Linked DNA regions of Rhinolophus ferrumequinum. The protein of the gene in region 4 interacts with the protein of the main gene of each other region in a pairwise test. Links are inferred from orthologs where the notes say so. Each region holds a gene or a part of one and is shown on either strand. Other genes may lie near its edges.

What was found.
Region 1: the proteins of CEP70 (region 4) and HSPD1 interact in binary tests that used the Homo sapiens proteins (3 or more experiments, as listed by UniProt). The two-hybrid records come from large-scale screens. The link is inferred for Rhinolophus ferrumequinum from reciprocal best matches to the Homo sapiens genes CEP70 and HSPD1.
Region 2: the proteins of CEP70 (region 4) and TTLL10 interact in binary tests that used the Homo sapiens proteins (3 or more experiments, as listed by UniProt). The two-hybrid records come from large-scale screens. The link is inferred for Rhinolophus ferrumequinum from reciprocal best matches to the Homo sapiens genes CEP70 and TTLL10.
Region 3: the proteins of CEP70 (region 4) and GCC1 interact in binary tests that used the Homo sapiens proteins (3 or more experiments, as listed by UniProt). The two-hybrid records come from large-scale screens. The link is inferred for Rhinolophus ferrumequinum from reciprocal best matches to the Homo sapiens genes CEP70 and GCC1.

What each region holds. Positions count from the first base shown.
Region 1 is NC_046291.1:33,113,024-33,120,413, reverse strand, and holds the start of HSPD1 (60 kDa heat shock protein, mitochondrial), read right to left. Parts: upstream 3,014-7,390; 5' UTR 2,856-3,013; intron 1,953-2,855; 5' UTR 1,951-1,952; coding exon 1,777-1,950; intron 650-1,776; coding exon 397-649; intron 1-396. Other genes in the region: MOB4 (MOB-like protein phocein), read left to right, coding at 3,505-3,507, 4,129-4,293, 5,294-5,383, 5,466-5,511. UniProt on the Homo sapiens protein: Chaperonin implicated in mitochondrial protein import and macromolecular assembly. Together with Hsp10, facilitates the correct folding of imported proteins.
Region 2 is NC_046292.1:316,945-324,589, reverse strand, and holds the start of TTLL10 (inactive polyglycylase TTLL10), read right to left. Parts: upstream 3,002-7,645; coding exon 2,835-3,001; intron 1-2,834. UniProt on the Homo sapiens protein: Inactive polyglycylase.
Region 3 is NC_046309.1:18,181,449-18,188,395, reverse strand, and holds the start of GCC1 (GRIP and coiled-coil domain-containing protein 1), read right to left. Parts: upstream 3,002-6,947; 5' UTR 2,613-3,001; coding exon 1,581-2,612; intron 717-1,580; coding exon 1-716. Other genes in the region: ARF5 (ADP-ribosylation factor 5), read left to right, coding at 5,737-5,803, 6,319-6,399, 6,728-6,837. UniProt on the Homo sapiens protein: Probably involved in maintaining Golgi structure.
Region 4 is NC_046300.1:37,673,569-37,680,747, forward strand, and holds the start of CEP70 (centrosomal protein of 70 kDa), read right to left. Parts: upstream 3,023-7,179; 5' UTR 2,892-3,022; intron 2,882-2,891; exon of another isoform or gene 2,624-2,881; intron 572-2,623; 5' UTR 503-571; exon of another isoform or gene 469-502; intron 1-468.

The DNA.
Region 1 (7,390 bases), on a different chromosome or scaffold from region 4:
TAAAAAAACAAAAACCGGTTGACATCCTTGGATGACTTAGTTTCTTGTTAAGCCCTACTTTCCGAATAACTAAAGTAAAACATAAAACATCAAAACCATATAATCTTTCTGCTTTAATCCCCACAAGTTTCCTATTTTCAAGATACACAGTATATGCTGTATCTTCCAATAAACTGTTGGCTTTCAGGGGGAGGGTCTAGAGGAGTTGGGGGGGACTGGCAACAGGGAATGTCTTAGTCACTTTTCTCTCCTTAACAACATATGTAGCCAGGTATTCAATCATTATATGCTGAAGCAATACTCAACGTTAAGAATTTTTAAGGGAAGAATCAACTTTCTAATATAATTTAATAGACAGTTCAAAACACTGGGGGGACAATGAAAAGACATTCCTACCTCTCCTGATTTCCACTGGATTAGCACCTTTACTAATCTTCTCAAAGCCTTCCTTGGCAATAGAGCGTGCCAGTACAGTAGCAGTTGTGGTGCCATCCCCAGCCTCTTCATTTGTATTATTGGCAACATCCTGAACAAGTTTAGCGCCAATATTTTTATATTTATCTTTTAAGTCAATCGACTTTGCAACGGTCACACCATCTTTTGTAACTTTGGGACTCCCCCAACTCTGTTCAATAATCACTGTTCTTCCCTACAATTTCAGAGAAAAAAAAATGTGACAGAATCACACACTCAAAGTACTAGTTAGCTTAAAACAGAAAGAGCAGTTTTAATAATAGGGTAATTACTTGAAAGCCTCAACATGATTTTTTTTTTTTTAAATCAGATCTGCAGCATGAATCTCAAGGGCAAGTTCACTGATGTTCTAAGTTTACAGAAAAAATGACCTCTCTATTGCGAAGGGCACAACTCTGGATGAAGAATTATGTGAGATAAAAAAACCTAGAGACTAAAAGATGACATTTTATGAAACAAGAATACAGATAAAACAATACCAATTTGGTAGATTATAATGAAATTCCAGCTTATTCTTCACATAATTTCTAGTTAAGTTTTATCCAGTGTCAGCTATTTTGAAATTAATGCGAACACTTACTTTTAAACTTGCTTTGAAATATACTTATTAAAATACTAACAGCAATGCAAGCACAGTACTCTCTTCCAGGGTTGTTCGACATTAAATCTCAAACATGGTGCAGAGTATTGGCAGCTTTTGGATTTGAAACCAAGTAGCTATTTGGGAGGCATGCAAATGCCACATTTTATACAATTTGGATCACTTTGATATCTGAAATGTGCACAACCTTTGTCTTCCTCAAATTATTACCTTTCAACTCACCAATCTCTTCATGTTAAATGAGACTTAAAATTTTAAATGTGCTTTGGAACAGAAGGGACAGCAGAAAAACACTGGTAAAACTAGCACCTCCTGAGATATTATAGGAGATAAATTATATTCTTCCCTCTATGCTTGGTACTAACGGACTGGAGAAGAATCCAAAAGTTAACTCAAGTAGGCAAGCAAGATTAATTCTACCTTGAGTTTAAGGATCCACCTTGAGTTATGAGTTACCACTGGATTCTACGACACATTGTATAAAATCTCACAAATTTGGCAGAAGTTTAAGTTTTAAGGCCATTATATATACGCAAAAGAAAAAAAGATTAACCCATAATGTGGAACTCACATGTAAATTGGATTCTCTCAAAAAAGGATACCCACGTACTGTTCTATAGTTCAGTGTGACTATTTGCCATCAGTAAGTTATTCCCTAATTAGAGTACTATTATAAATTACAACAATAACAATACTGATACCTTTGGCCCCATAGTAACGGCTACAGCATCGGCTAAAAGGTCCACACCTTGAAGCATTAAGGCTCGGGCATCTGCACCAAACTTTACATCTTTGGCATACGCCCGAGTGAGATGAGGTGCCAGTGCCCTGGACACTGGCCTAATCTGGCGAAGGACTTCGTGTAATCGAAGCATTTCTGGGGAGGAGGAGAAACAAGCATTTATCATCAGTACAATAGTAGCATTACCCGAAGCAGGTTACAACACCTGTGCAACAGAACAAGAAATGTTAGCCGTGAGCTAGGTTGGCCTCTGCCACCCACCAAACCTGGGCCACAGAAGGCGCCCCAACTACAGACCACCAAGTACCAGCGCAAGCTTGCAAGGGCTGCCCCCACGCCTGACCTACCGCACTGGCAAAAGGCACACCCACCTTCTTGCTCCTGGCCACCTACCCCTGCCTCTCTAAACAAGTTAATCTTTTACCGCTAAAAGGGCCTTCAGAGCAAACCCATTCCAAACGTGCCCCTGAGAAAAGCCTGCAAGAAAGGGGCAGGTCATAAAAACGGTGGCCGGTGGAGTAAAAACATTCCTGACGGTGCAAAAATCTGCTGAGTAAAATGTGTCTTCATGTATCCAGTCGGGGTTACTGTATCTGAGCAGTCCGCCAGGCCCCGATGCTGGCGGCCGGGGCCCCACGTGTCTTTTCATCGAGACGCCCCGAGCAAGGTCAAGGGTGGAGGGGCCGAACCCCGCTGGGCCAAAGGCAGTCTCCACGCGGCTGGGACTACCTTCCCCGAATCTCTGCAGCCGGCCAGGAGTGGGCTGCATCGGAGGGCCCATGTGAATACACTCCCCAAATTCCACACACACTCCTGAGCAAGCCCTCCCTCCTACGCCCTGCCCCGGCGAGCGATCCCTGCCGCACGTGACGGGCTCCCGCATGGATCCGCGAGGCCTGGGCCAGCGGGCCATGGCCTCCGGCACTGGCGGGAAACTCGGGCTCTATCCCGCCGGCCCACTCAGGCAGGACCGCAGCGGGGGAAGGCCGGCGCCGGGTCCGAGGCGCCTGGGTGACATGATGCGGGGAGGCCGCATACCTGCGGGGCAGCAGCACGACGTGCGAGCGGCAAGGAAAGCCGTCGGCGGCGAGTGAGGGACAGAGTACAGGGCGCACACGGCAATGAGCTTGTGTCCCCTCCCTCCGCCGCTCCCCCGCCCCGCGGCACAGCGTGTGCGGGCGCCTCCCACCTCTTTCCCAGGCCCGGCCCGGCAATCAGCACGCGCTGCGCGCCAGCTCCGCCCCTCCCTCCCCGCGCCGGGCCGGGCCAGCGGGCTCAGCCCTCTCGAGCCGGCTTAAGCTAGTTCCCGGGCTACGCTCGGTTCCAGAACTTTCCGGGGAGCGACGCACTCTCTGTGGGTCAAGGGTCAAATAGCGTCATTTCCGGGAGGAGGCGAAGGGCTAGTACTTTCACCTCCGCAGGCGGCCTAGAAAAGCCTAGAAAGAGCTCCTCTTTTCTTCCGTCTCCCGGTCGTTGCGTCAGTGGCCTGCGCAGAGCCCCCGGGGACGAATCGCGGCGCGGGCCGCGGCGGCCGCCCTCTTTTAAGGGGAGGGGCGGGTGGCTGGAGCGAGCGCGCCTGCGCCCTGGGCAGCCTTTTCTAAAGTTCACGTGTCTCGAAAACCGGACTGCAGGTCTCTCCTTGCGGCCGCGGCGCGAGAGCAGAGTACGAACTGCTGCTGCCGGAGTCATGGTGAGTCCGCGTGGGCTGGTGCCTGGCGTGCCCGGATGGATCGGCCTGAGACAGTTCGCGTTGGGCCTAGTAGGAGGGATAGGGGGTCACCCAGGGGTCGGTATCCGCTCGAACCCTGGAGAAGCCAGGTCCTGTCGACCTTTTCCTCTGCCGAGGGTTCTTTGCACGCGCGTGTGCGGCGGGCGTGTAGGCTAGGGGGCGGGAACCCAGATGCACGCGCGGTGGCGGACCCGCTGTTCCTGCAGGGCCTGTGTAATGTAAAGAAAGCATGGCTTTAGGCGGAGAGATTGACCTCAGTGTGTGCTGAACATTTTCAGAAAAACCTAAGGAAGGAAAATACGTGACCTTGGAATAAGCTAAGGTTGACTGTAAAGCTCGTCTGGCTGCTGACCAGAGGAGTAACAATGACCCTTAACACACATAGGGAATTGGAAATTGACTTGGAATATAGAGCAGAAAGTTCAGAACGTTCAGTGGGTTTCGTGAACGAGTAATTGAGTTGGGCCGTTATCTTGGAAAGCCACATGCGGTGTTTGATAGCGTAATTTACGATGGCATTGCCTGTTCAGAATATAATCGCATATTCTTTTTGTTTCAAATCAAACATTTCTCTCTCTACAGGCAGGACAGGCATTTAGAAAGTTTCTCCCCCTCTTTGACCGAGTATTAGTTGAAAGGAGTGCTGCAGAAACTGTAACCAAGGGAGGCATTATGCTTCCAGAAAAATCTCAAGGAAAAGTATTGCAAGCAACAGTAGTAGCTGTTGGATCCGGCTCTAAAGGAAAGGTAAATGGGGGCTAAAATGAACTATTTTTTATGTGAAATGGACAGAAAAATAATTATTGGTTATTATTAAAAATAGCTTTTTAAGTAGCTTATTTTATTTTCACGATCATTCCCTAGTTCAATCACGTCTAATTGTCTCTTTAATGAAAATGATTGTAAAATTGCTTATTTTATATGATAGAGAATTCGAGGATATTAAAACTACAATTTATGCTTGAAGATAATTGTGGCGGCTTTTAAGAATTGAGGGGAAATTTGAATTCTTGGTCTAACTTCTAACTCTGAGATTGTGCTAGTCTTTTAACTACTTTCACCTTGCTTGGCATACCTATGAAAGGAACTGGTTGGACTACCCTCCCATATACTTTCCAATTAACTGGTTAGATCTCAGACCTCAAAGTGTCAGGCAGAATACACAATAAAATGTTGGGGTCAAATATGTTAATTGCTCCAGGTGCCTCAGAGAAACTTCTAGAAAGGAGCTATCCTGGAATCAAAAATAGAAAGCTTTTGGGGATTGGGCACAGTGCTTCCATCCCTCTCCCCAAATCTGTATTTTGGAGGAAAGGAAATGGAATCTCCAAAGAAGTATGTTTCAAATTCAGGAAATTTGAAAAAAAAAATTTGTATGCTGAAGTTAACCATGACCATGTACACATGGTTTTAAAAACTAGTTTATTTTACATAGTCCATAGGTTATGTTAATATTTAACCATTAAAAAATTAGCTTAAGTTAACTTGGCTTAAGTTAGCTTTCCCAGTATAACTCCTTGAACTTTTACACTGAAATCAGGTTTCAGTTTAAGCCACTGTGTAGGCATTATTTCAAAATGTAACTCTACAGTGATATTTTTGAGTTAAGAACTACAATTGTATAAATTATAACACTACCAAGTTCTTTAACAGTTGATTTGAGTGAGTACATTTGATTAATAGAAGTTAGCTGTAAATATTTGGTGAACTAGATGTCTTTGCTAATAAATATTCTTAATTTCTTAAGGGCGGAGAGATTCAACCAGTTAGCGTGAAAGTTGGAGATAAAGTTCTTCTTCCAGAATATGGAGGCACCAAAGTAGTTATAGATGACAAGGTGTGTAAACTTAATAGTTTTAAAAAAAAGTTAAGTATTTGCTTTTGTCTTTATTCTTAACTAACGGTTTCTCTATTTGCAGGACTATTTCTTGTTTAGAGATGGTGACATTCTTGGAAAGTATGTAGACTGAAATAAATCACTACTGACATGGCATCACGTGAAGCTGCCCATTCCACTGAAGTTCTGAAATCTCATCATGTAAATAATTTCCATGTCTCTTTTGTAATAAACTAATAATATCCAAAGTAATGACATCTAGTGTCTCTTAAAATTTAGTTCCACTGTACTGATACAAACATTTCCAAATAAAAATATACAAATAAATGGTTAATTTTTATTTAGTGATTTAAGATGGTTTTAGGGTTCTCTAGTTTATACTTTTTTGCTTTTTCTCAAGTAACCTGCAGCAAATTCTGGGAAACAAGGCTTTAATTTTCACACTGAATTTAGGTTGACTCCATAGGTAATTGATGCTGATACAAAGCCATGGATTTACACTTACTTTTTTTTTTTTTTTTTGAGAAGCAACAAGGAAATGAGATCCAAAAGAATAGCTGTAGCTGTTGAAGCTCTTGATGTAAGAAACAACCAAACCTGTAGAGAATTTTTGTAAGTGTTTTATTAGAGCCAAATTGATGACGTACACTTGGGAGCAAGATCTCAAATGTTCCCCACATGGTTAGTTTGCAGTTCCTTTTAGGCATTTGAGATTAAGGTGGGAACTGAGGAAGATTACATAAGGTGGGAGAAAGCAAGCTTTGGATTACAAGATAGTTAAGACTGCTCTCTTGAGGGTGGTCCACTTTAGAAGGGGGGGGGTCTGAAGAGAGGCATTTCAAAGATGTGTACCTACCTAGATGCATAGAAACAATGGACTGGGCTTGTTTAAAGATTAACCTTCTACTAAAGAAGATACATGCCTCAGACATGACTACTCACTATGGCCTGCCCAGTTAGGAATTTATGATTAGATCACTGTGAGGTTACTTTTAATAGAACCCCTTTTTTCATCCACAAAGCTACTCTACACTGCTTCAGATAAAAACCCACATAGTGTTCAATTAGGTGAAGGAAAGGTATTTATGAGAAAGGGAAGGGGAACAACTAACTGCATGAAAAGGGAATTTCTATAGGTGCGGATAAGCTAACAGTGATGCTAATTCTAAAGAATGTTCAGTCTGGCAGTCATGTCTGCTTTCTTGATAGCTTTGCAAACAGTTGTTTGGAATGCAGTGCTGCTTTAGGCTCAGTACAAAGGTTATTTTGCCCAGTTTTAACATTCCAAAGGTTTGAGGAGTAAGACTTCCAAAGCAGTTCCACTGGGGTGGCAGCTCGGACTTCAAAAAGTACTAGCTGTGTTTGTTATTTTTCACAATGTTACAGTACAATGCAAGTTGGTGGGAAGGGCATTGTTCCACACAATCATTTAGGGTCCCAGACTCCATCTTGGAGTCCGCTCCACAGAGTCAAAGGAAGTGTTTATGGTCCAGGTCTAGAGATGGAGCACTTCATTCCTCACTAGTGTTGATCAGGAAGTTCTAGACTGATTGGTTTAAAATTCTACTCTTGGGTGGTTGAATCATGACAACATCTCAAAGGTACACATTTTTTAAAAAAGCAACATTATAACAATATAGAACAAGCTTCTATTGAACTACAGTTACTTGTGGAATCCAGTGTCATCTCAAGTTTTACATAATTTGGCAAAAAATTCCAAGGCAAGATAACAATTAACATTGGCTGAGTGCCTTGTATATGCCGGGATAGGCACTGTCGTCATAATTACAGCTAACGCTTCAGGAGCATTTTCTAGGCACTGGCCACTGTTGTAGGTACTTTGTATATGTCAAATGATTTAATCATTCAACAACCCTATGAGCTAGGTAACTATCAGTCTCGTTGCAGAAGATGAAAGTAAGGTGCAGAGTGGTTAAGTAATAACCAAGGTCACTTAGTGGCAAAGCCAGGATTTGGACTTAGATTATCCACCTGGTGCCGCTGTCT
Region 2 (7,645 bases), on a different chromosome or scaffold from region 4:
CCAGGCTCACGCTGGGAACACGTGTGGCAGTGGGTACCCACTTGCATGGTGTCACAGAGGTGAGTGACAAACAGGACACAGGCCAAACCAGGGCAAGGCTGCAGGCCAGGACCCCTGTGGCCCCACGCACGGCTGTACGGGACGTCCCCAGCCTGGCAGTCCATGTCCCCAGCCCAGTGGCACCATCCGCGCCCGGCCTACATGCTCTGTGCTCTGGTGGGGACGGGCCTGTCCTGTGATCCATGCACTTCTGTAGCTGCTGACGGCTTTGGCCATGACCCATCCGAGGCCCTCGGGCTCAGGGGCTCCTCTTCCGGAACGTTCTTGTTCACGGCCTTTGCTCGTTTCCTCACTTTGTTTTGGAGTTTCTGTCCTCTTCCTGCTAAGTGGCAGAACTCCTTGTATATCCTGAGTTGTTGCCAAGCAGCAGCCTACCCGTCTGTCTCCTCGTACCTGCCCCTAAAGCAAGGAAAGTCTGTGAGACGGATCCTTTCAGGGACTTTGCTTCACCTTTGTGCTTGTACTTTGTATCTCCCTGTTTGGCCCCAGAAAGATGCTGGTCAGCCAATGACGGGTATGACTTACCACGTGGAAGGCAACCTAAGACAGGTGGAGGCCCGTGGGGACCCACAGGAGAATCCATGGGGTGGATAGAGGTGGGCACAGCACCCCCCCTCGCTAAGGAGAGCCTCTGCCTCTGTGGCTGCATTCCTTCCCACAACCTGCAGGGGAAGAGATTCAATGGTGTGCTCTCCATCTATTCATATGCATAAAGGTTTTGTCCCTCGGGGAAGTACAGACATCCTGAGACTTATGGTCCAGCTGCCTGCAGGCAACGGTGATTGGCTTGAATCAGTTTCCTATTATGATGTGTGGGATTCACAGATCTTGAGATTGACAAGCTTTATCTCCTTTACTTCCCCACCTAACTAATAAAGGTACTGTATAGGCCTCAGTCCTTGAGGCTGGAGTCCCTTGGTCCCGCTTACACTCTATTCATGGCTACGATCTTTTCTTAACCCTGCGCCGCCCTCCTTGCTCCCCACACACTGGGTAACGGTCCTTTTGTCCCTGTCACTCAAAACGTCTCACTGTGCTGCACTCAGCCTGCTGGTGATGATGTGAGGTGACGCGGGGCCTGTTTGATGTGTGAGGTGAGTGACGCGGGCATCGTTCTCTGTTGGCCTTCTGCTCCGGTGACCCTGGGTGGCCGAGCCGTGACGATGTGGGCTAGGTGTCAGGAGCAGATGGTGTCGCTGGTTGGGGACCCAGACGGTCAGACCACAGCTGGCCACGTGTAGCTGAAACCCCGGGAAGCAGCACCACAGGTAAGGAAAGGGCAGCTGTCTTCTCAGGTCCTGTCATGGCCGTGGGCCGGGAAGCCCTGTTTTTGACACCATCAAATGCACCATTTTTTGCCAGGTGGTCTGTGTGTTGCAGGGTTTGTTTGGGGTCTCCTTCCCTGCCAACTACCAGGCCACCAGGCCCATGGGTGGCTCCATATCAGGAGCCTGGTCCAATCCTGGTCACTTGGTTGGTGCTGTCATTGTACATCAAATACGCTCGAATGGAAAAGTCTGTGCCTACGCCTCCCGCTCCCCTGGCCATCAAGGCGTTTTCCCAGACCTGCTTGCTCTGTGTAGCTGTGGAGCTTTGCTATGAGCTATGAGGCCCTGATATCTGGACAGCTAGCTCCCCCCACCCCACCGCCACACACACACTTCTTTTTAAGGCTCACTTAGTTATTCACGACTTTTTCTTTCCTAAATTCTAGAGGAAGTCTATCTAGTTCCTGAAAAGCTCTAACGGTCATGTTGAATAGGATCACACGGACCTCACGGGTTAACGGGGGAGAACTGGTCGCTGTGTAGTACACAGCCCCCACCTCCATCCCCCCCGGGAACATGGTCAGCCTCCACAGCTCCCCGACACAGTCTGGGTGGCTTCTCGCTTGAGTTAAATCCTACACACTTCATTGTGTCCCTTGCTGTCGTGAATTATTTTTTTCTAATTGTTTATTGTGGGTATCAAGCAAGACTATTAATTTTGTTTTCATTTTTTAAAATTGAGGTGAAATTCACATGGCATAAAATCAACCATTTAAACTACGTTCCAGTGGCCTTTATACATGCACAATGTTGTGCAACCACCACCTGTATCTGGTTCCAGAACCTTTTCATCACCCCCAAAAAAAGCCCGTCTGCATTATGTAGTCAGTCCCTGCCCCCACCCCCAGCCCTCCGGCACCCACCAACCTGCTTTCCGTTTCTGTGGATTTACCTGTCGTGGATATTTCGTATAAATGGATTCATACAATATATGACCTTTGTGCGGCATCCTTACAATACTATTGATGTTTCATTGAGAAATATAACATAAAATTTACCATTTAAACTATTTCTAAGTACAGTTCAGTGACATTAAGTGGCTTTCACGCTGTTGTGCAAACATCACCTCTGGAATTTCTCATCCTCCCAAACTGGACCTGTCCCCATTAAACACCCACTCATCCTCCTCCGCAGCCCCTGGCACCACCAGATACTTTCTGTCTTTATGTTTGACTCCTCTTATATGCCTTTTTTACGTGGGATCACAGTGTTTGTCCTTCTGTGTCTGGTTTATTTTGCTCAGCACAATGTCTTCAAGATAATACTATTGATTTTTGCAGGTTGGTCTGTTATTCAGCAATGTTATTGGACTCTTATTCTAACAGTTTGCCCATCAATTCTATCGGTTTTTCTAGGCAGATGATCATATCTTTTGGCAAGTAACATCAGTTTTTTTCTCTCTCCTCTTACAAGCCTTACGCCCCTCCTTTAGTTTTCTTCCCTTACCTGTTGGCCAGGACCTCCGATACGGTGTCAGGCAGTAGCCATGATGTGGGGGCGGCCCTGACCTGATTCAGCTCCTGAAGACAACGCACCACCGCTTCTCCACTTAGTGTAAAGTTCACTTTGAGGTTTCTCTGGAACTTGAGCACGTTAGTGATCTTCCCGCCCATTGCTAGTTTGCCAAGAGCTGTTTGTAAAGTCACAAATAGGTTTTGAAATTTATTAAAAGCTTTTTCCACATCAAGCGAGGAGATCACATTTTCTCCTTTAATAACCAGGCTTGCATTCCAATGACAAAGCCCATTTGATCACTGTGTATTGTTTTTAATACATTATTGCATTTGATTAAGAACCAAACCCTACCTCCCCTTCACGGCAGGTCCCAGATGCCCAGGCCCACCTTCCCACAGCACTACCCAACCATCCCCTGCCCTGGCCTCCCCTTAGCCTTTGCTCACCTGCAGGAAGGAAGGTGGCAAAGCACAAGAGGCAGGGAAGGCTCAAGACAGCACAACTGAACACCAGGCCTCCAAACACATTGGAAGGCCACCCTCTGCCCCCCATGGACAGCTGTGAGCACCACACAAGTCCCTCCCCTGACCTCCTAGGCATCAGAAGGCCCCCTGGAACTTGAGAGACCACCAGTGGAGTCCTTGTAGTGACTATAGGTTAGCGTGTTGTGAATTCTAATGGCATCTTAAATGCTTACACCATTCTCAGGAAGGAGAATGCAGGCAAAGGGAACAGAGACAGCATTTCAGAAAACAAATCATCACATGAAGGGGAGCAGGGAGCTTGTCTCATCTTTTCCAGTGGGAGACATGACAGGAGGGGCTTCCCACCCCACATAGAGGACACAGAGGAACTGACACGTTCCCTTCCCAGGCTCTGACCACCCTGGGGACAGGAGCAGAGAGGGAACCCACCATCCCCTGAACAGTCCGTGAGCTCTGACCAGGAGCAAGTCGGTACTGGGCACTGAGGCTACAACAGCAAAGGCACGGACCAGGTCTCGGGTGATGGGAGGCTTTTGTCTGGGGGCAACACGTGGACTGAACAAAGGAAAGGAGGTGGTGGTGAGGGTCTTGGGGAAGTATTCCCAGCAAGGACAATGGCCTTGGGGCAGGTATTGGAAAGCGGGGGTGAGAGCCAGCGGTGGGCAGGTGCAGGGAGCCGGTATGATATAGGGAACAATTATGTCCCGGGGGTAGGTATGGCTGGCCATGGGGCAGGGGCAGGGAGTGTGGGGTCTTCCCAGCTGGCCAGGGCAAAGGATCAATGTGTGGGGGAAACCACAAATGTTAGGAGTTGGCAGAGGATGAGATGCCCCCATCCTTGGCAAGAGTGACAGGGCAGCGAACGAAGGCCAAGAGAAGACATGGAATGACGAGCGGTCTGGGCCAGAGAGGGTTGGGGGACATGGTGCGGGAACCACAAGCACGTCCCCAGACAGCCAAGGGATCAGAGGTGTTGTCTGTGCCCCGGGCAAGCACCAGGTCAGAGGCCAGTGATCTGGAGGCCCTGGGGCCTGAGAGCAGGGCGGGTGTTGGAGCGGCACCCCCCACTGGTCTCCACCTGGAGACCCCCTGCCCACTCCGGTTTTCCGTCCTGCTCTGCTTGCAGGGACATCTCAGATGTCCCGAGTAGAACAGGCAGCGCAACCATGAGGCTCTTTCAGCCACGGGAAGGCCAGGGACATCGGGGGATGGACTTCCCGACGTCCAACAGCGTATGGTGGTGGAGACACTGCCAGGCAGCTGGGGAGGACCACCTCGGAGCAGGTCTGCCGAGGTGTGTGCCTGACACATGTGAGCGTGTGCACGTGTGTCTGTGTGCGTGTGCAAGGGCATGCATCTTCCATACACACGCCACCAGGGGGGTGACTGAGGACCAGGTCCTTTGGCCGCTGAGGACACCGTCTGGCCCTGGGCTGGGAAGGCAGTGTCTGGAGAAGCCTGTCCAGGTCCCAGGCTATCACAGGTTCAGGGAGCCTGGGGTAGCTGCAGGGCCAAACCAGGTAGGCAGGTGCCCCTGCCCCCAGGCACCAGGCCCCTTCAAGTCCCCAGGAACAGGCGTGGGGGCCAGGAGGTCCTGAGCAGATTAGCTTGGCTCTGGCTATGGAGCAGGCCTTGCCCACAGCACACACTCAGGTGAGCTGTTTCTGTAGCCTCCTCCGAAGACCAAAGGCTGCAGCTCACGGTAGACCAGCCACCCCTGTCCTTTCTCCCCAGAAGGGGAGGGACACTTGTGATGCCTCGTCAGGTCAGCACAGGTCAGCACGGGGAGCTGACAAAAGAGGCTTTTCCTTCTGGAATGAAATGTGGCTGAGAGGAGCCCATGAGCTGAAATCTGCGACAATCCCCAGCTCCATTTGAGAGCTCTCCTGAAAGCTGGCAGTCGGCGGCACCATCTCTGGGAAGTAGACGCTTACCAAAGGGGTTGGCAGTGAGCGGGTGGTGGGAGGCAGACCCCTGGCCGCCCACTGTCAGGTGGGTGTGAAGAACACCAGCAGGGCTGGCCCTCGTCTACCATGACCACTGCTGACACTTTGGTGCGCTCCCTACAAACTTTCTGCTGTGCCTCGATGTAAGTAAATAGAATGTACATATATGAATATTAGGTTAAAAACCAGCTGTGCTCTTTCCACCCAAGACCATGGCATCTCCCCTTTATAATCACATCTCACGGACGTGGCTTCGGAGCTGTGTGTCGTGATTTTATCCCGCCATACTAAGGTCAGACAGCCAACGTCCCGGACAGGTGGTGGCCACGCTGACTTCACAGATGAGCCACAGGGAGGCTGGTTGGTCATCACACGCCAGCCAGGAGCAGGAACTGGGCCCCTTTGGTGCTGCCCCTGGGGACCCTGGGTCCCCCCTGTGGGCTAACACTCCAGGGAGGCCAAGGGGACCCTGCTGGGGGTCCCCCTCAGGCCCCCCAGGACTGGGGGGCCTCCTCAGTGATGCCCTGTCCCGCCTTCTGCTCACAAACCAACAGCAGCAGCTCTAGGGTCTGTGACGGGCTTTTGCTGATGTGAAGGTGGCTGTGTGGTTCATATTTGTACCAGGGAATTTGGGGACTGTCTTTTGCAGGCGAGTGGCCCTTGCTGGGACCAGGCTTGTCACTCTCTGGCTGGCAGTTCTCTGGAGGACTGTGGGTCAGGCTCTGAGGCCCTGAGTCCCAGGACCCGGACTGCATAGGAGCAGATCTGGACCGGTGGGCGGCCCCAGCTCTCAGAGTCCGCACCTGCCCAGCTCCCAGAGGGCAGGGCTGGACCAAGAACACAACCCCTGCCAGGCCTCCTTGGCCCCGGGCAGCACGAGGGCCGAGCAGGGTGTCCTCACTGGAATCCGAGGCATGAGTCCTGGATAAGCACTGACCAGCCCAGGGCCAGACCTGGGGGCCCAACCCAGTGCAGCCAATGGCCACCTGCCGCTGAGCTTGGGATGGGGTAGAGGCACGGCTGTGGCCCAGGGGCCAGGCCCCTTCCTGGCCCCTGAGTCCATGTGGCTGCGGTCCAGGCCAGGACTTACCTCAACCCCCAGGGCCCCCTCCAAGGTGAGCAAGGCCTGGGGCTGGTGCCACCCGGAGAGGGCAGCAGAGTCCCCAGGGGCTCCGGGTGGGCACACGCTACCCCTGCCCACCACTATTCCTGAGCTCTGGGGCAGGTGGCTGCACTGCACCCCAATGTTGGGCTAGCAGTGGGTCGGGGGCCATTGATAAGCTGGGAGGTCTGCCCAGCCAGGCCGAGAGGCCACCCACCATCTCAGGCCTCGCTGAGAGCCAGCCTCCAGCGTCTTTCCGGAACACAGCCCCAGTACGATGGGGCTCCCTGGCGCCTTTTATCGCACCATCAGCACGCAGAGGCCCAGGCGTCAGGACACATCCTATGCCAGCACAGGCCCCTGGCCCAGCTCCCAGCGCCAGGCTCCCACGCCCGCTTTACAGGGGACAGCTGTCCAAAGCACCTTCTCCGTGGCCTCCTGCCAGGTGGGACGTCTTTGCTTTGCGGCTCCACGAGGCCCGCCATCCTTAGGCACAGCTGCCCCTGTTCAGGGGCCTGGGCACCCACCTCCGCCCGACTCCACGCCACCCACCCTTCTTGGGCCGGCTGGCGCCCCAGGTGCTCACAAGCCTTTCATGGCCTTCGTCCTGGTGAGCCCTCAGTTGCCAAATACATATTTACCCAGGGTGGAGACTGGTGCCCAGGATTGAGTATTAAATGGATCTAAAGTCGGGGACCCTTTGGCAGCTCTGTAGGGACCCAGGCAGCCGTGGGGCTGTGGGGGATGGTGGACCCAGGGTCACGCAGTGTTCTGAGCTGCCCTGTCCGGACCGGAAGGCAGAACTGACCCCTCAGCTGACCTGGCATGGGGCGAAGGCCGCACACAAACCAAGGAGGACAGAGGCAGTGGGAGAGCCTGGGAGGTGAGGGCCACACCGGAGGTCAGCCAGAACGTGACAGGGTCCAGGCAGCTGGTGAACAGGGTGCAGGAAAAGGGGCGTCCTTGTCGCCCGCTGACACCGAGCTCAGGCGGCACGCTGTGTTAGTTACCTGTGGCTGCATGACAAATGTCCCCAAGTGTCATGCCTGAAGACGTTTATCAGCTTTCGGTGGCTGTGCAAAACGAGGCCACCGTGGTGGTGTTGGATGGGTTTCCACGCGAGGGTGCCCCACGCTGCCCACCATGGCTGGCTTCCCCCAGGGTGAGCAGTCCTACAGAGAGCGCCCGAGACAGGCCACAGCCTTTTTATAACCACCCTCGAAAGTGCAGTCCCATGAGTCGGGAGGGGACTGCACAGGGCGGGGGTCC
Region 3 (6,947 bases), on a different chromosome or scaffold from region 4:
TCCTCCAGTTTCAGCGTGCGGTCCCTGAATTCCAGCTGGCTCCGCTCCAGCTCCTGCCGGTGGTGATGCTGTAGCCGGGCCAGCTCCTGCTTCCAGTCCTCGGCCTCCTGCTGGTGTTGGCGCTCAAGCTCCTCGCAGGACAGACGCAGGGAAATATACTTCTCCTTGAGCTCTGCAAGCTGTTCCTGGGCTTCCTCCAGCTCCTTGGCCAGGTTGCCGTCTTTGCTGTTCTTGCTCTTGAGGACGACCTGGGCCCTCACCTTGTACCTCTCAAACTCTTCCTTCAGCTGTTTCAGCTCCTGTTGGTAGTAGAGCACGGTAGCCTTCTCCCCGTCAGCGGCCTCAGAGCTGGGCATTATCTCCAGGTCGCAGAGCTTCTCCACATCCAAGGTCACCTGGCTTTTCCTGGTCGCCACCTGCAGTAGCCTCTTCAGCTTCTCCATCTTGTCCTTCAGGACATTGACGTCCAGACTGGACTCCTCTCCATGGCTGTCTAGAGGGGACCGGCTGGAGGCTGCGAGAGCCAGCGTCTTGTTCTCCAGGTCCAGCTGCATGATGCGCTCCTTCAGCTTCTGGATGGCCAGCTGGTCCTTCTGCTTGGCTTTCTCATATGTGCCCAGCAGTTCCGACACCTCAGATATTTGGTTCTCCAGGGCTGCCACCCTCTGCTCTTCCAGCTGAGATTGCTGACGTCGTTGATCCTCTGCGAGGGCTGCCTGTAAAACAAGGAAACAGATGGAAATGCATCCAGAAACGCCACAAAGCGCTATGGCAAACTTTGAGAGCACCAGAGAGGACAGCCAAAGAGTCACAGAATGGGGATGGCCTGGCAAGAACGGGAACTGGGGATTTTTTGGTTGATCTGGGAGCTAACAAAAGTTCCTGTAACTTGCTTGCGTTCTGCTCACAGACACATGTTATACCAAACAATTAAGAACCTCTGCATACCTGCTCCTATTCTGGTTTCGTACTTCCATTGTCTCCTATCATACACCAAACTCACGTATAAAGAGTGCTTTCTTCATTTATCATGTGTTTCCCCAAATCTTATTATGGAATCATCTCTTCCAATATTCCTGGAAGATCAAAACTGAGTTGGACCTCTCTCCACACTGAATGGAGGCACTATAAAAATAGAATACCTTTCCAGAGTTGGCAAAATCTTGGCTGAAAGCCGTTACAAAAGGTCATTTCCTCTGAGAAAACTCCCTTTTCCCCCTTCAGCCATCCTTCCTATAGGCATATACCACTACCTACACATAGGCATACAGCTCCAGTCAGACACACGACCTTTTCACTGCATGTCTGCCACAGTACTGCTTCGCAGAGCACAGCGGGTAAGATGCCAATGCTAGATCTGTCTGGCTCCAACCCAGCCTACACTTAGAAACTCTACATCCTGTTGGAAACATGCTCTGTGGATACTGTCAACACCACATAGAACAGAATTTCCAACTCACCAATAAAACATTTTGCATCAAAAATTGACAGTGCAGCCACTGAGATCTATCAAAGGCGGAAAAACAAATATTTCCCATTTCAGGTTTAAATGACTTTTTGAAGGAGATGGAGATAATTACCTTCCTCATTTCCTGCTGCAACTGAGCCTGGAAATGGCTCTTAAGGCAGGCAGCTTCTTCCTGCAGCTGCTGCAGCCGGGGGTCTGGCTGATTCTTCTCATCCTGGAGAGCCTGCAGCTGACCTTTGAGCTCCTCCACCTCACGGGTCAGCTGTCGGGTCTGCAGTTCAAACCCTTCCATCTGACCAGCTGCGTATGCCCGCCCTGCCAGGGCTTCTCGGGTCTCTTCCAACCGAAGCTCCAAGTCTTGGCGCTGGGTCCTCTCCTCCTGCAGCAGTTTCTGAAGCTCACGCAGCATCAAGGCATGGTCACTCTGCTCCTGGGCCCGATCGTGCTGCTGTGTGATAAGTCGGGCTTTGGTTTCCGCTATCTGCTCCTGCAGCCCCTTCAATTCTCCCTCCAGACGGCCCCTCTCTTCCTCTGCCTTTTTACTGGCATCCTCTAAGTCCTGTTTCATCTTCTTCTTGTCAGCCAGGTAAGAAGCTTCCATGCGGGACTTCTCCTGGGTGACTGTAGCCAAAGCGCTGGTCAAAGTAGCCAACTGAGTCTTCAGCTGGTGCAATCGTTTGTCCACCTCCCCACCTGCAGACGGTCCATCCCCACTGCTACTGCTAACACCACTCTCCGACCCGCTGGCCTCTTCCGACTTTGGAGGTGGTGGTCCACGGGCCAGTCGGTCATCTTCTACCCCAAACTCACCCTTGGTGCTAGTGAGACTGGCGACAGTATCCAAGCTAGTGGCGGTCCCAGTGCTATCCTCGCTGTGAGTGGAGCATCGGTCATCCACGTTGTCAGGACAGGTGAGGCCTGGAGGCGGGCCATCTGCCAGGCCCACATCCGCCTCTTGGGATACTGACAGCACCTTGATGCTGGCCTCTAGCGCCTCTTTCTCTTTCAGTAAGCTTTTATAGGCGCGAACCACATCCTTGAGACGTGCCTGGTACTGGAAGAGCTGCTTCTTCTGCGTCTCAATGGTCTCCAGCAGGTCCTTTTTGCTGGGGCCACCCCCGAAATTCATTCCAAACTTCTCCATGAGGATTCAGAACGGGTGGTTCCACGTCAGCGTTGGGGCAGCCCGGGAGACGGTCGCGGGGACGCTGGCGGGCGTTGTGGTCCCCGCGGCCGCACACCCGCTCCTCCCAGTTGTCCGAGACCGACGCGGGGAGGCGGGGCAGCGGGCAGAAGCGCCACCGGGTCCGGGGTACGGAAGGCGGGGGCGGTTCCCACCTAGAGGCGGGGTGACGCGGGCAAGAGGGGAGCACACAGCCAGGGCGCCCCCGCCCTGTCCCAGAAGCTGCCCCGCGCTCCCGCCCGCGCCGGCCACAGCAGCCCCTGCGGGACCTCGGCCCACTGTCCGCCAGGGGTTTAAGCGGAGCGCAGCCCCTTCGCGACTTCCGAACTACAGCGGCCCGACAAGGGCGCTTCCGGGTCCGCTGGAAGTGACGACAGCAAGACGCCGCAGGCTCCGCCCCAGTGGCCAGAGGAGCGCGGGGCCACCCCAGCCGGGGAGTGCTCGGCCGCGGCCTGTGGGGAACCTGGCGAGGCTTTCTCTCCCCGGGAAGAGCAGCACAAGCCAAGCTAAGGACGCGAGTGATGTTGATTTCGTGAGGTTCACCCGAGCTTGCCTTCAGGCTACGATCAGCGAGGGACAGGGGGCGACGTCGCACTGAGTCCTTACTGAACAGCTCGCGACGTGTCTCCACTATTTGGGAGCTCAGTACCTTTGTCCCTAAAGAGCAACAATTAAGACTCTCATTCAAACCACGAACACTGCAACCCTTGCTAGTACAGTGTTTGGCACCTGGAAGGCGTATAGTATAATAATTATTAGCACCCTTCCTGAGTTCTGCTGAGTTAATGCAACAAATGTTTGTAAAGGGCATCCGTATGGCCAGGACGTCGGTCTTTAGTGCCAACTATATTCCAGGAGCTTTGCAAGAGTTTTGGTATGTAGTCATTACAATAATTCTGCTCAGTGGGTATTGTCAGCACTGTTTTACAGATATGGAAACATGAAGCACAGAGACGTAAGTAACATGCCCAAGGTCGCACAGCTAAGTTTAGGGATGCTATCCAGATCAATCCAACTCTCAACATACCAAATGCTGTGCCAGGTGATCACTATGATGAGACAAGGTCCTGCCCTCACGGAGTTCCCATCTAGTGAAGAACCAGGCATGCAAACACAAGTCCTGCCATCGTACCGGTATGCATAAGTATATTCAAAGTGATGTGGAGGAAGTCCTGTCTAGGGGAGGCAGAGAAGGCTCTCAGAGAAAATACTTTGGGATGTGAAGGATGAGTAGTGACTACCCATCTAACTAGAGATCAGGGAAACAAGCATTCCAGGCAGAGGGAAAAGATTACGAGGACTCCTGTGGCATCAGGGAGGCTGGCTCACCTGGAAAGCATTGAGAAGCATCTCGAGGCAGTAGTTTAGGGTATGTGAAGGAGGTGGCAACAGACGGGGCTGGCCTAGGAGGTAGGGATCCAAATTAAGGCATTAGATTTTATCTTTGGTGATAAGAAGACACTAAAGGATTTTAATCACAAGAGTGGTGTCATCAAGACTTGTATGCCAGGGTGGCAATAGCAAGGGGCAGGAGAACTGTGAGGAGACTGTTGCAGTCATGGAGAAGAGATGGTACTGAAATATGGCGGTGACAACAGTGATAGAAAGAAAGAGGCTAATAAAAGAGCTGAAGATGTAGAACTGACCTGACTTGTTCATCGCTAGTTGTGTTATTATATTGGGACTCTTTTAAATGTATTCTTCGACCTTGTAAAAGTCATCCTAGGAATGCAAGTGTGATTGAAGAGTAAAGTCATGCACTCATACCTGATGCCCAAAGTCTGTTCTCTTTACAGACTTGCAGGTCTGGATGGGGCAGGCCCTGGAGCTCTGTTCAGACCCAGTTTCTTAGTGGCCCAGGAAACATCCAGCTGTTTTATACAAAACATTCAGATACAGTATCTCATCATTTTAATCTTTACCATAACCTCATGAGATAGGACAAATATCAGTCTCTTTTTATAGATAAGAAAATGACAGCTTGAGAGGATTGTTGAAGGCAAGCCTTCAAAAAAAGGCAGAACTGAGATTTGAACGGAGGCCTGGAACAATGGCATACAGTAGGCATTCAATATTTGTTGACTGAGTGAATGAAGGTTCTCTGCTTCCCAGCTCACCTCACCATGTCCAGTCCATAAGCAACTTGGCTCCAGAACAGGCAAAACACCTGTCCACGCTCCACTGAGCAACCTACCAGTCCAGTTCAACCTAACAAGCATTTGTTAAGCATAAGCCTGGCATGATCCAGTTTTTGCCATAGAAGATACTTAAATGAATTCCAATCTGGCTCTTTCCCCTCCAACGCTAAGATGAATGGGGAAATTACTGGAGAAGCTCTTCGGGCCTAAGGAGGCAACCACATCCTCACATCCTGGATAGGTGTGCATTAATAATGCAGGCTGCCAGGTCTGTGGCAAAGAGAGGAAGGACTTCAGAAAGGCTGTCTGGGTCCAGACTGAAAAGCTTTGCTTCCTTGCACACCCGGGCGAGTCTACGGTTCCTGAACCACCTACTGTGCTCCAAGCCCCTCCCTCACTGGGAGCTGCGGGGGCAAAAGGGAGGTCTTAAGACGACTGCACGGAGCTTACGCACCTCTAAGAGGGTGGTGCACACAGTCGAGGCTGCCAGTTAGAAAGAACTAAACCGGAGACCAGAGTGAGCTGGACGCAACAAACCAAAGCCCTGCGGCGGGCCACGGAACATGGGGGTGGGGGCCGCTGCGGAGCACTGAAGGCTTTCCTCCGCCCCCCTCTGACTGCCGGTTCAACAGCCACAGATGTGCCAGGCGTGCTAGAAACGGGGAGACCCTGGCCCTTTCCCTCTTTAAAACCGGCGCGGGACCCAGCCAGGCTGCGGAGATTCGCTCAGCTTCGGCTTCTCCCGGAGCCCGAGGCGCGGGGCGGGGCGGGGGGCGGAGCTAGGAGCGGAGCGCGATGGGGGCGGGCCCGCCGTGACGTAGGGCGGGCCGCGACGCGCGGAGGCGGTGGCGGCACCTCCCACTGCTGCTGCGCCCCATCCCCCCGCGGCCGGCCGGTTCCAGCCTGCACCCGGTGTCCGTGTCCGTGCCCCCTCCCCGGGCCCCGCCATGGGCCTCACCGTGTCCGCGCTCTTTTCGCGGATCTTCGGGAAGAAGCAGATGCGGATCCTTATGGGTGAGGCAGATCAAGCGCGCGGCCCGGACGGGAGCGCCGGCCCCCGCGCAGCCCTCCCGCCCCCGCGTCCCTCCAGGCCAGCTCACCCCGCTTTCTGACTCTGAGTCACCCACCTTCTAAACCCCTGGGGCCACTGCTCTCGGGCGGGTCACAGTCTGCAGCGCCGCTCCCGGGGCCTGAAACCGGGAGCTGCGGGCCTGGGTGGGGTGACGCTCCCTCCGCCCCAGCCCGGATGGTAAGAAGGGAGGATTCCGCCCTTGGAGGCCACTTTTAAAAGGAGCGCGGTCCTCCTCCTGTACCCCTTACACCCCCAGTCCTCGCCCGCTTCAGGGGCAGCAGTTGGCGCTCATCACCCGGACTGCCCTTAAGGCCCGGAAGGTAGATAACAGCGCGCACCTGGAAGCTCTCGGGCTCTCCGCCCCTGTCACCGTCAGCTGTCCTGGCCTCTCCCCTTCCCTGGTCTCTAGGGGGCTCCCTCGCTCCCATCTCCATCCCTATGCCCCTCTTCTTTGCAGTTGGCTTGGATGCAGCTGGCAAGACCACAATCCTGTACAAATTGAAGTTGGGGGAGATTGTCACCACCATCCCCACCATAGGTGAGTCAGAGGAGGTGAGATTGGGAGGAGCTGGAGCGTGGCGGCCAGCTCAGGGTCTCCTCCTCATTCTGCGTCTCCGTGCTGGGACCTGACACCAGATACAGCTACCTGAGAAGTGGGTCACATTATCTTTACCTGCTGGATGGTGTGAGGAGGGGTGGATGTGACCTAGCCCCGCCCTGCCAGTTGACTGCCAGTCTTCTGGACTTCTCTTCCCTTAGACCTTGATCATTGCCTTCTGATTTGTGTCCCTGCTGAATGCACTGTAGTTTAGTGAGTTCCTTCCAATCACGACTTTTTCCTCATATTTTTTTCCAATTATCTTCAGGCTTCAATGTGGAAACAGTGGAATACAAGAACATCTGTTTCACAGTCTGGGACGTGGGAGGCCAGGACAAGATTCGACCTCTGTGGCGGCACTACTTCCAGAACACTCAGGTGGGGGGCGAGGGTGTCTCCCCAACCCCAGGGGAGGAGGTGATAGCATTAGGAAAATTGTTGGCCTAGGCTGGGCCCCTGGGCCAGGAAAAAGCCTTACCCCTCCCTAA
Region 4 (7,179 bases):
GGTGATTTTAGAGTTTGACCAGCAATCTTTATTATCTTAAATAGTTCCTTAACCTCTCTGGGCTTCATTTTTTTTTTTTTAATTGGGGAATATTGGGGAACAGTATGTTTTTCCAGGATGCATCAGATCCAAGTCAAGTCACTGTTTTCAGTCTAGTTGTGGGAGGCACAGCTCAACTGCAAGTCAAGTCATTGTTTTCAATCTAGTTGTGGAGGGCGCAACTCACTGGCCCATGTGGGAATCGAACCGACGACCTTGGTGTTATGAGCGCTGCGCTCTAACCAACTGAGTCAACTGGCTGCTCTGGCTTCAGTTTCTTTAACTGAAATCAAAATATCTATTTGAGAGGATTACCAAGAGGTCAAAAGGAAATACATGTAATGTACCTAGTATAGTGGTCAATAAATAATAAATCCTTTCCATGGCCTCCCAACATCTAGAGAGAGTCATCCATCACATTAGACATACCTCAGTCATAGCACATTCCTCTTGCACTTTTTACCTGGTCATTCCAGTTGATCTCAATTAAATGATCACCCAGTAAGTCTCAGGTCTGAAACTGGATCTTCATCTAGGTTTCAAAAAAAATAAATAGACCACAATCTTAAAATGTTCAACCTCATAGTAAGAATGGTCTTGTGTTATTCCTAGAGCAGGCCTCCGTGGTACTAGTAAACACTGATCTGAAGCTGGACCAACTGAAGCTAATGGACTCCAATGCTCAACACCATGTGCCTTCTCTCTTCTCCTTTCCCCATAACTTTCCTCTCCCTGCCGGCAGTCTAAATCTATCATCATCTAACATCAATTCTGACTTCTGGCTTCAAAGGTAGAATATTCTTATTTGCAAGGGTACTGAAAAGCAGCACTCTCAGAGAAACAAATACCACTGAACACAAAAGGCAAAGGCAGGAAGAAAACTATCTCCTCAATTCTACCTGTGACCAAGTCCTCCCTTTTAGAGGACCATGCTGTAAAATTAATGCGCCAATAGTATCTAGCAGCCTTTCCCACTCAGACTGTGACAGGACACAGCTGGAACTTTGAGTCATCAGAAGAGACCAAAAGCTTACCAAGGCCAAAATAGAATCTAGCTTTAAGGAGTGTCATACCTAAAGTAAGACTGTGGGAATGGGAGTTGCAGGGTAGGAGTTGGTTTGTACATAGCATAAAAAACCAAGTGCAAAGAAGCAAAACACAGCTATATCTTCCAGCACTGTGCAGGTTCCCCAAGAGCCCTTTGGTAACTTGCTCTTTACAGGTCTGAAGTCCCTTTAACTGTACCCTTCGTTAGAATGTAATTTTTTTCACCACTTTTTGGGCAGGAAAGCTGGAAATAAACCATGGCAAGTGTCACACGTGGTGTCATATGGGGTCTCTGATCCCGCTCCCTGCATAAGAACGCAGGATATGGTGAGGCCAAGAAGGAACACCAACAGAGCCATAGATAGGGGAGTCATATCACTATATTCTCGCTGGCAGCTGGGTTGGACACACAGGAAACAGGATCCACACGATCTGCAACCTGCGGTCCGCTTCTCTGCCAACCAACAAACCCCACTTGCTAGCTGCAATCCGCGCTTGCTAGCTCAGCCACCATCTGCTGCTAGCATAGCCACGGCAGTTATATTAGTGGCCAATGGCTCACTGGTTACAGTTGATGGCCATCCAATCACAGTTGATGGCCATTTACTACCCAAACCAGCACCTTTCCACGTGAGGCCAAGAGCCTGGAAACTGCACTACTGGCTCTGTCCCCACAGCAAGTAACTATTCTTTTTGAAGTGACTCACATTAAAATCTGTAATTAGCTTTCTCAAAAGCATTTCCCATTATGGCAATAAATGGTATAGGCAATGTTTTCAAAGTCTCTGTGAATTAAATACAAAAGCTCTATTCCAAAAATGTATTAACATGCTGTTTAATAAGAAGACTCATGTTCCTAAAAAGAATTGAGTCTACCACAGATAAAGGAATGGAGTTAGGACTGGATATCATCTCGACCAAATCATTCTGCCCCAGAAGTTACATAAAGGGACAGAATTCTCCTCTCCCCGCTTTGAAGCAGAAGCTGAGGCAAAGCTTTAGTAAGCCACCTCTTCCCCAAGTTGGGGTGGGGTAGGCCGGGGTCTACTAAGCAATACTGAAAGTAAAAAAACAACTCATGTAGAGAATTGAAACCAATATGGGTTAATATCTGCACCGTGTTTAATATTATTACAGTTAGAACATAAAGTGGTAGTAGAAACCCTTTCGGATTGGTCTCTATGTTACGGGTCTCTCAGTCCTCCAACATTTACACCTTATCGATTTTCTTAATAGAATCAAATTAGACTGCATAAAGTCAGAAGCCTCCGGAATGAGCCTAATAAACCGGAGAAAGAATACTCACCTACCCCTTTGCATATACCCTCCCCGCTTTTGCTCCAAGTCTTCACTCGCCAAGCAACCTTCTCAGACTCCTTGACTCAGAAAAGTGGGGCGGGTCAGACCTGACCAACTCTCGCGGATCGAGTAATTACCTACAATTTATCCAGAATCCAGTCTACACCATGTATCATTCTAAGCTTTACATTTATTGTCCCACTTAACCTTCTCCACCACCATGCAAGGCAAGAATTACCAGCTGTATTACATAAATGAAGAAACTGAGGCGCTGAGACATTACATGAGAAGCCAAAGATCACAAAGGGCGGAGAGCCAGGACTGGAACCAGGTTTGTCAGGTCCCCAATCGTAAGACTGGAAGCGAACCCGTCCCAAGCGGTTCCTCTCTGGAGTCCCCGACAAGGGTCAGTTTGACCACTCGCATGGCCCAGGTGAAGCCAATTCCGGGGATGCTTCAGGTAGGGGCTCTGAGCGATGCCTCTGTGAACCTGGAGCGCCACTCACCTTCTTCAGCCGCCTCCCCCCAGCAGCAGCGCGCCCAGCCCCGCCGGCTCCACCGCCTTTGCCCCGCCTCCGCGACCGTTACCGCGGTGTGGGAGCCAGGCCTATCCAGCCCGAGCTCGTCAAAGAACCGCCCTCTGCTCCGCCGCCGAACGCCGGGATTTTTCACCGGCCGCCCGGGGAGGCTGGGTCAGCCCCGCGCCCTCTGGTTGGCTCCGCTGTTGGGGGCGGGGCTCACTATTAACGATGACGCAAGATGCTGTGCCTGGTTTGCCGTCTGCGTCTGCGTACTCCTAGCACACTTGTTACAAGCTCTGGCCTCGCAGGAGTTCATATCACTTGGCTGGAGCATCAACTGGCAGAAGAATTCAGAAATACACTTTTGAGGAGGTGAGGGGAGAGAGGCCCGGGCCTCCTGGCCAGCGCAGGCTGCCCTCCACACAAATACACAGGAGGTGACTGCGAGCTCTTGCTGCAGGACAGGTCAGCCTGTTCTGTAAGTTCCAGACCTAGCAGAGCACTGCAGCGCCTGGCATTTGGAGGACCCCAATAAGGGTTTGTTGATGACATTTTATTCTTCCATTCAGCATTTTCCCAATCTATGCAGTGTCAAGCCTACATCGGGCTCCAAAAATGCAGAGGTGGTTGACGATATGATCAAAGTCTAGTTAGGGAGAAGGGTATACACTTTGAAATTAAGATACAGTGTGGTATGATTAGAAAAGGGTGCTGTGGGGACAGAGCCAGAAGTGCAGTTTCCAGGCTCTCGGCCTCACGTGGAAAGGTGCTGGCTCAGGTAGTAAATGGCCATCAACTGTGATTGGATGGCCATCAGCTGTGGCTAGTTGGCCATCAGCTGTAACCAGTGAGCCATTGGCCACTAATATAACTGCTGTGGCTACCCTAACAAAAGATGGGGGCAAGAAGATGGTGGCTGGCACAGATTGCAGTTAGCACGGCGGATTGCAGCTAGCAAGGGATCGGTTGGCAGGTGGAAAAGCGGACAGCAGGTCGCACGTCATGTGAATCCAGCCTCCAGTGAGACTATAGTGGTATGACTCCCTTACCTATGGCTCCGTGGGTGTTCCGTTTTGGCCTAGCCACATCCTGCATTCTTATGTGGGAAGCGGGAGCTGAGGCCACGCAGGCCGCCCTGCGTGACAGTATTATAATTAAGCCTGGGCCCCTTTGATACAGCTCATATCTGCCCTCCCCAAAAATCTAACTCCCAAAGCATTTACAAATATAATAACTAAGAAAGCTGAATGTGGGGCCAGCCGGGTGGCTCAGGTGGTTAGAGCTCCATGCTCCTAACTCCTAAGGCTGCCTGTTGGATTCCCACATGGGCCAGTGGGCTCTCAACCACAAGGTTGCTGGTTCAACAACTCGAGTCACGCAAGGGATGGTGGGCTCCACCCCCTGCAACTAAGATTGAACATGGCACCTTGAGCTGAGCTGCCTCCCAGATGGCTCAGTTGATTGGAGCGCATCCTCTCAACCACAAGGTTGCTGGTTCGACTCCCGCAAGGGATGGTGGGCTGTGCCCCCTGCAACTAGAAAAAACTGCAATTGGACCTGGAGCTGAGCTGCGCCCTCCACAACTAAGACTGAAAGGACAACAACCTGAAGCTGAATGGCACCCTCCACAACTAAGATTGAAAGGACAACAACTTGACTTGGAAAAAAAGGCCTGGAAGTGCACACTGTTCCCCAATAAAGTCCTGTTCCCCTTCCCCAATAAAATCTTTTTTAAAAAAAAAGGAAAAAAAGAAAGCTGAATGTGTTGCATCATTGGAGAGGCAGAGGAGGAAAGCCTTAGGAAGTGTGCTAAGCTGGGATTTTATCCAGGAGGTAATAGGGAACTATAGGCAAGTTTTCAAAGGGCGCATAAAATGGAAAGGTTTTTGTTTGGGTGTCTTCAAGCCTAATTTTCTTGCATCCTGATATATAGGTAAAAACTGTTCAAACAGTCTACAAATATGATCACTGCTTTGTTTTTTCTACAAAAGGAAATCAATTCAATCAGCTCTATTTTTCAGTTCAACAAGTTGAGGATATACAAATAGGGTCCCTGCCCAGCATTTTTAAAAACTCGTAGGGGATTAAGTGATCCAAAAATTCCTAAGGGAAAATCTAACGTCCATATACCAGGCGTCTCATCTGCCCACCATTGACGTTGCATTTTATAACCACATGGTGTCGCTGTTGACAACTTGTATTTTCCAACTGGTCAAATGACGCACGTCAGTGGCGATGCAGTTCCCACAATGGCCAACAGGGATCTCCCACGGCAGGAATCAGCCAAGGCATCTCCCACAAGAAGGCCTCCGTCACAGCTCTTACTTTCAGGCCCATACTCAGCCTTACCTAGGCAACAGGGCCCACTGTGAGTTTGATCTGCCCCATACAAACATATCCTGAGTTCCAAAAGGGAAAAGGGGTTACCATAATTGGGAATTGGCACTGGGGTGGATGCTCCTTGAATCACATGAGTTGGAAGGTGGAGGCATGTCTACTTAAGTAAAACAGTCCAGTAAGGGGCGAGAGGACAATGGATGCTAGATGGATAACCAGTATCCTTCATGATCTTCAAGCATGAGAAGGCTGAATACTTTCTATTTCCTAACACTAGACCCTTCCTCTCATTGCTCCTGGATTTTGGGTGTAGCAAGTAGAGGGGAGGAAGCTCTAGACAACTGTCCTCTAAAGGAATTCTCATCTTAGGGACCACCATCTTATGACTGTCCAGCACCTCTCTTTGCTAGAGAAGGGAAAGACTCTGTACACAAGTTCAGTCTTCAGCTCAGCATCCTGCTGCACTGGTCTTAAAAGTTTTGTATGGGCCTCATCCACTTATCAGGATTGTGATGGTTCTAAACACTTATTTAACATCCACTCATTTACAAGAAATTTATAAAGTGCCTGTTATGTACTAGGGATTGAACTAGATGCTGAGTTTACAGTGGTGAGTAAACCAGATGTTGTTCCTGCCCTCATGGAGTTTACAGTCTAGTTGAGAAGAGAAATGTGAAACAAACACAAATAAGCATATAATTGTGACAAGCGCTATGCAGGAAGAGAACAGGGGTGTGTGGAGGAGGCCTTTCTGAGGAAATGAGATTAATGAGGTGTGATCAAAAAATACAGTGAATGCTGCTGCTGAGTGCCATCCAACGGAAAGGCAGGGATCTTCAATACGGAAAGTGGCACATCGAATCTTAGTAACAGTGTGACAAGTTTCAACTTGTTTAATGCAGTCTGTTGGGTGTGAGCTATGGTTGAGAGAAGGTGTGTTTCAAAGTGTGCCGTAAATCATCCTCCATCATGACAACGCTTCGTGTCACACATTGCTTCTGGTACAGCAACTTCTGTCAAATAAAAACATTACGGTGTGTCCTCATCCACCTCATTCACCAGAACTGGCACCATGCAACTTCTGGCTCTTCCCCAAAGTCAAAATGACCATGAAAGGTAAATGTTTTGAATTGATTCAGGACATCAAGGCAGCCACGACAGCGCAACTAAGGACACTCATGATAGAGGACTTCCAGAACTGCTTCAGAAAGTGTCAAGAACAATGCGATAAGTGTGTTCGAAGTGAAGGGAGTATTTTGAGGGGGATTAATGGCAATGTGTCTTTTACTGTAATAAATTTTATTTAAACATTCACCATATTCTTTGATCACACCTCGTAAGCTGTGATCCAAAGCCACTCTTCATTTCGGCTTACTGCTTTCCTCTGTGCTTGGCCTTCTCAGTATAGATTTTAGCTTTCATTAGCAATTAAACAGATCTTTTCATTTCTAAACTTCTAAACTGATTCTCAAATTTTCTCCTGGGTATAGAACTATCAGGTTTCTTCCCACCACAAGGAGTATGTCAAATATGAATGACATTGGGTGATGAATTCTTTAAGATTCTTCAACTCACAAGTCTTTTAGACTTAGGCTCCTTTTTTACACTAATAATTTGTTTCTGCGTCCCACATGAGAATTTGAACTCCTGGGGACATGGATCATATCTTACTTTTTCCATCACCTAGCATAGTCTCTGGCACATAGTTGATGCTCAATGCAGTGTTGAATCGCACTATTAAATTTGAGTCAGGTTTATACAGGGGGCATTCATCTTCAGTAGCCATTTTCTCATGTGAAGAACATTAAACAAAAAGGTCAAAGAAATAATAACAAATGCTCAAGAAGAACATTAAACAAAAAGCTCAGAGAAATAATAACAAATGCTCAAGAATCTATACAGAATAACAGTAGTTGTATTAATTGAACCCTTAAAA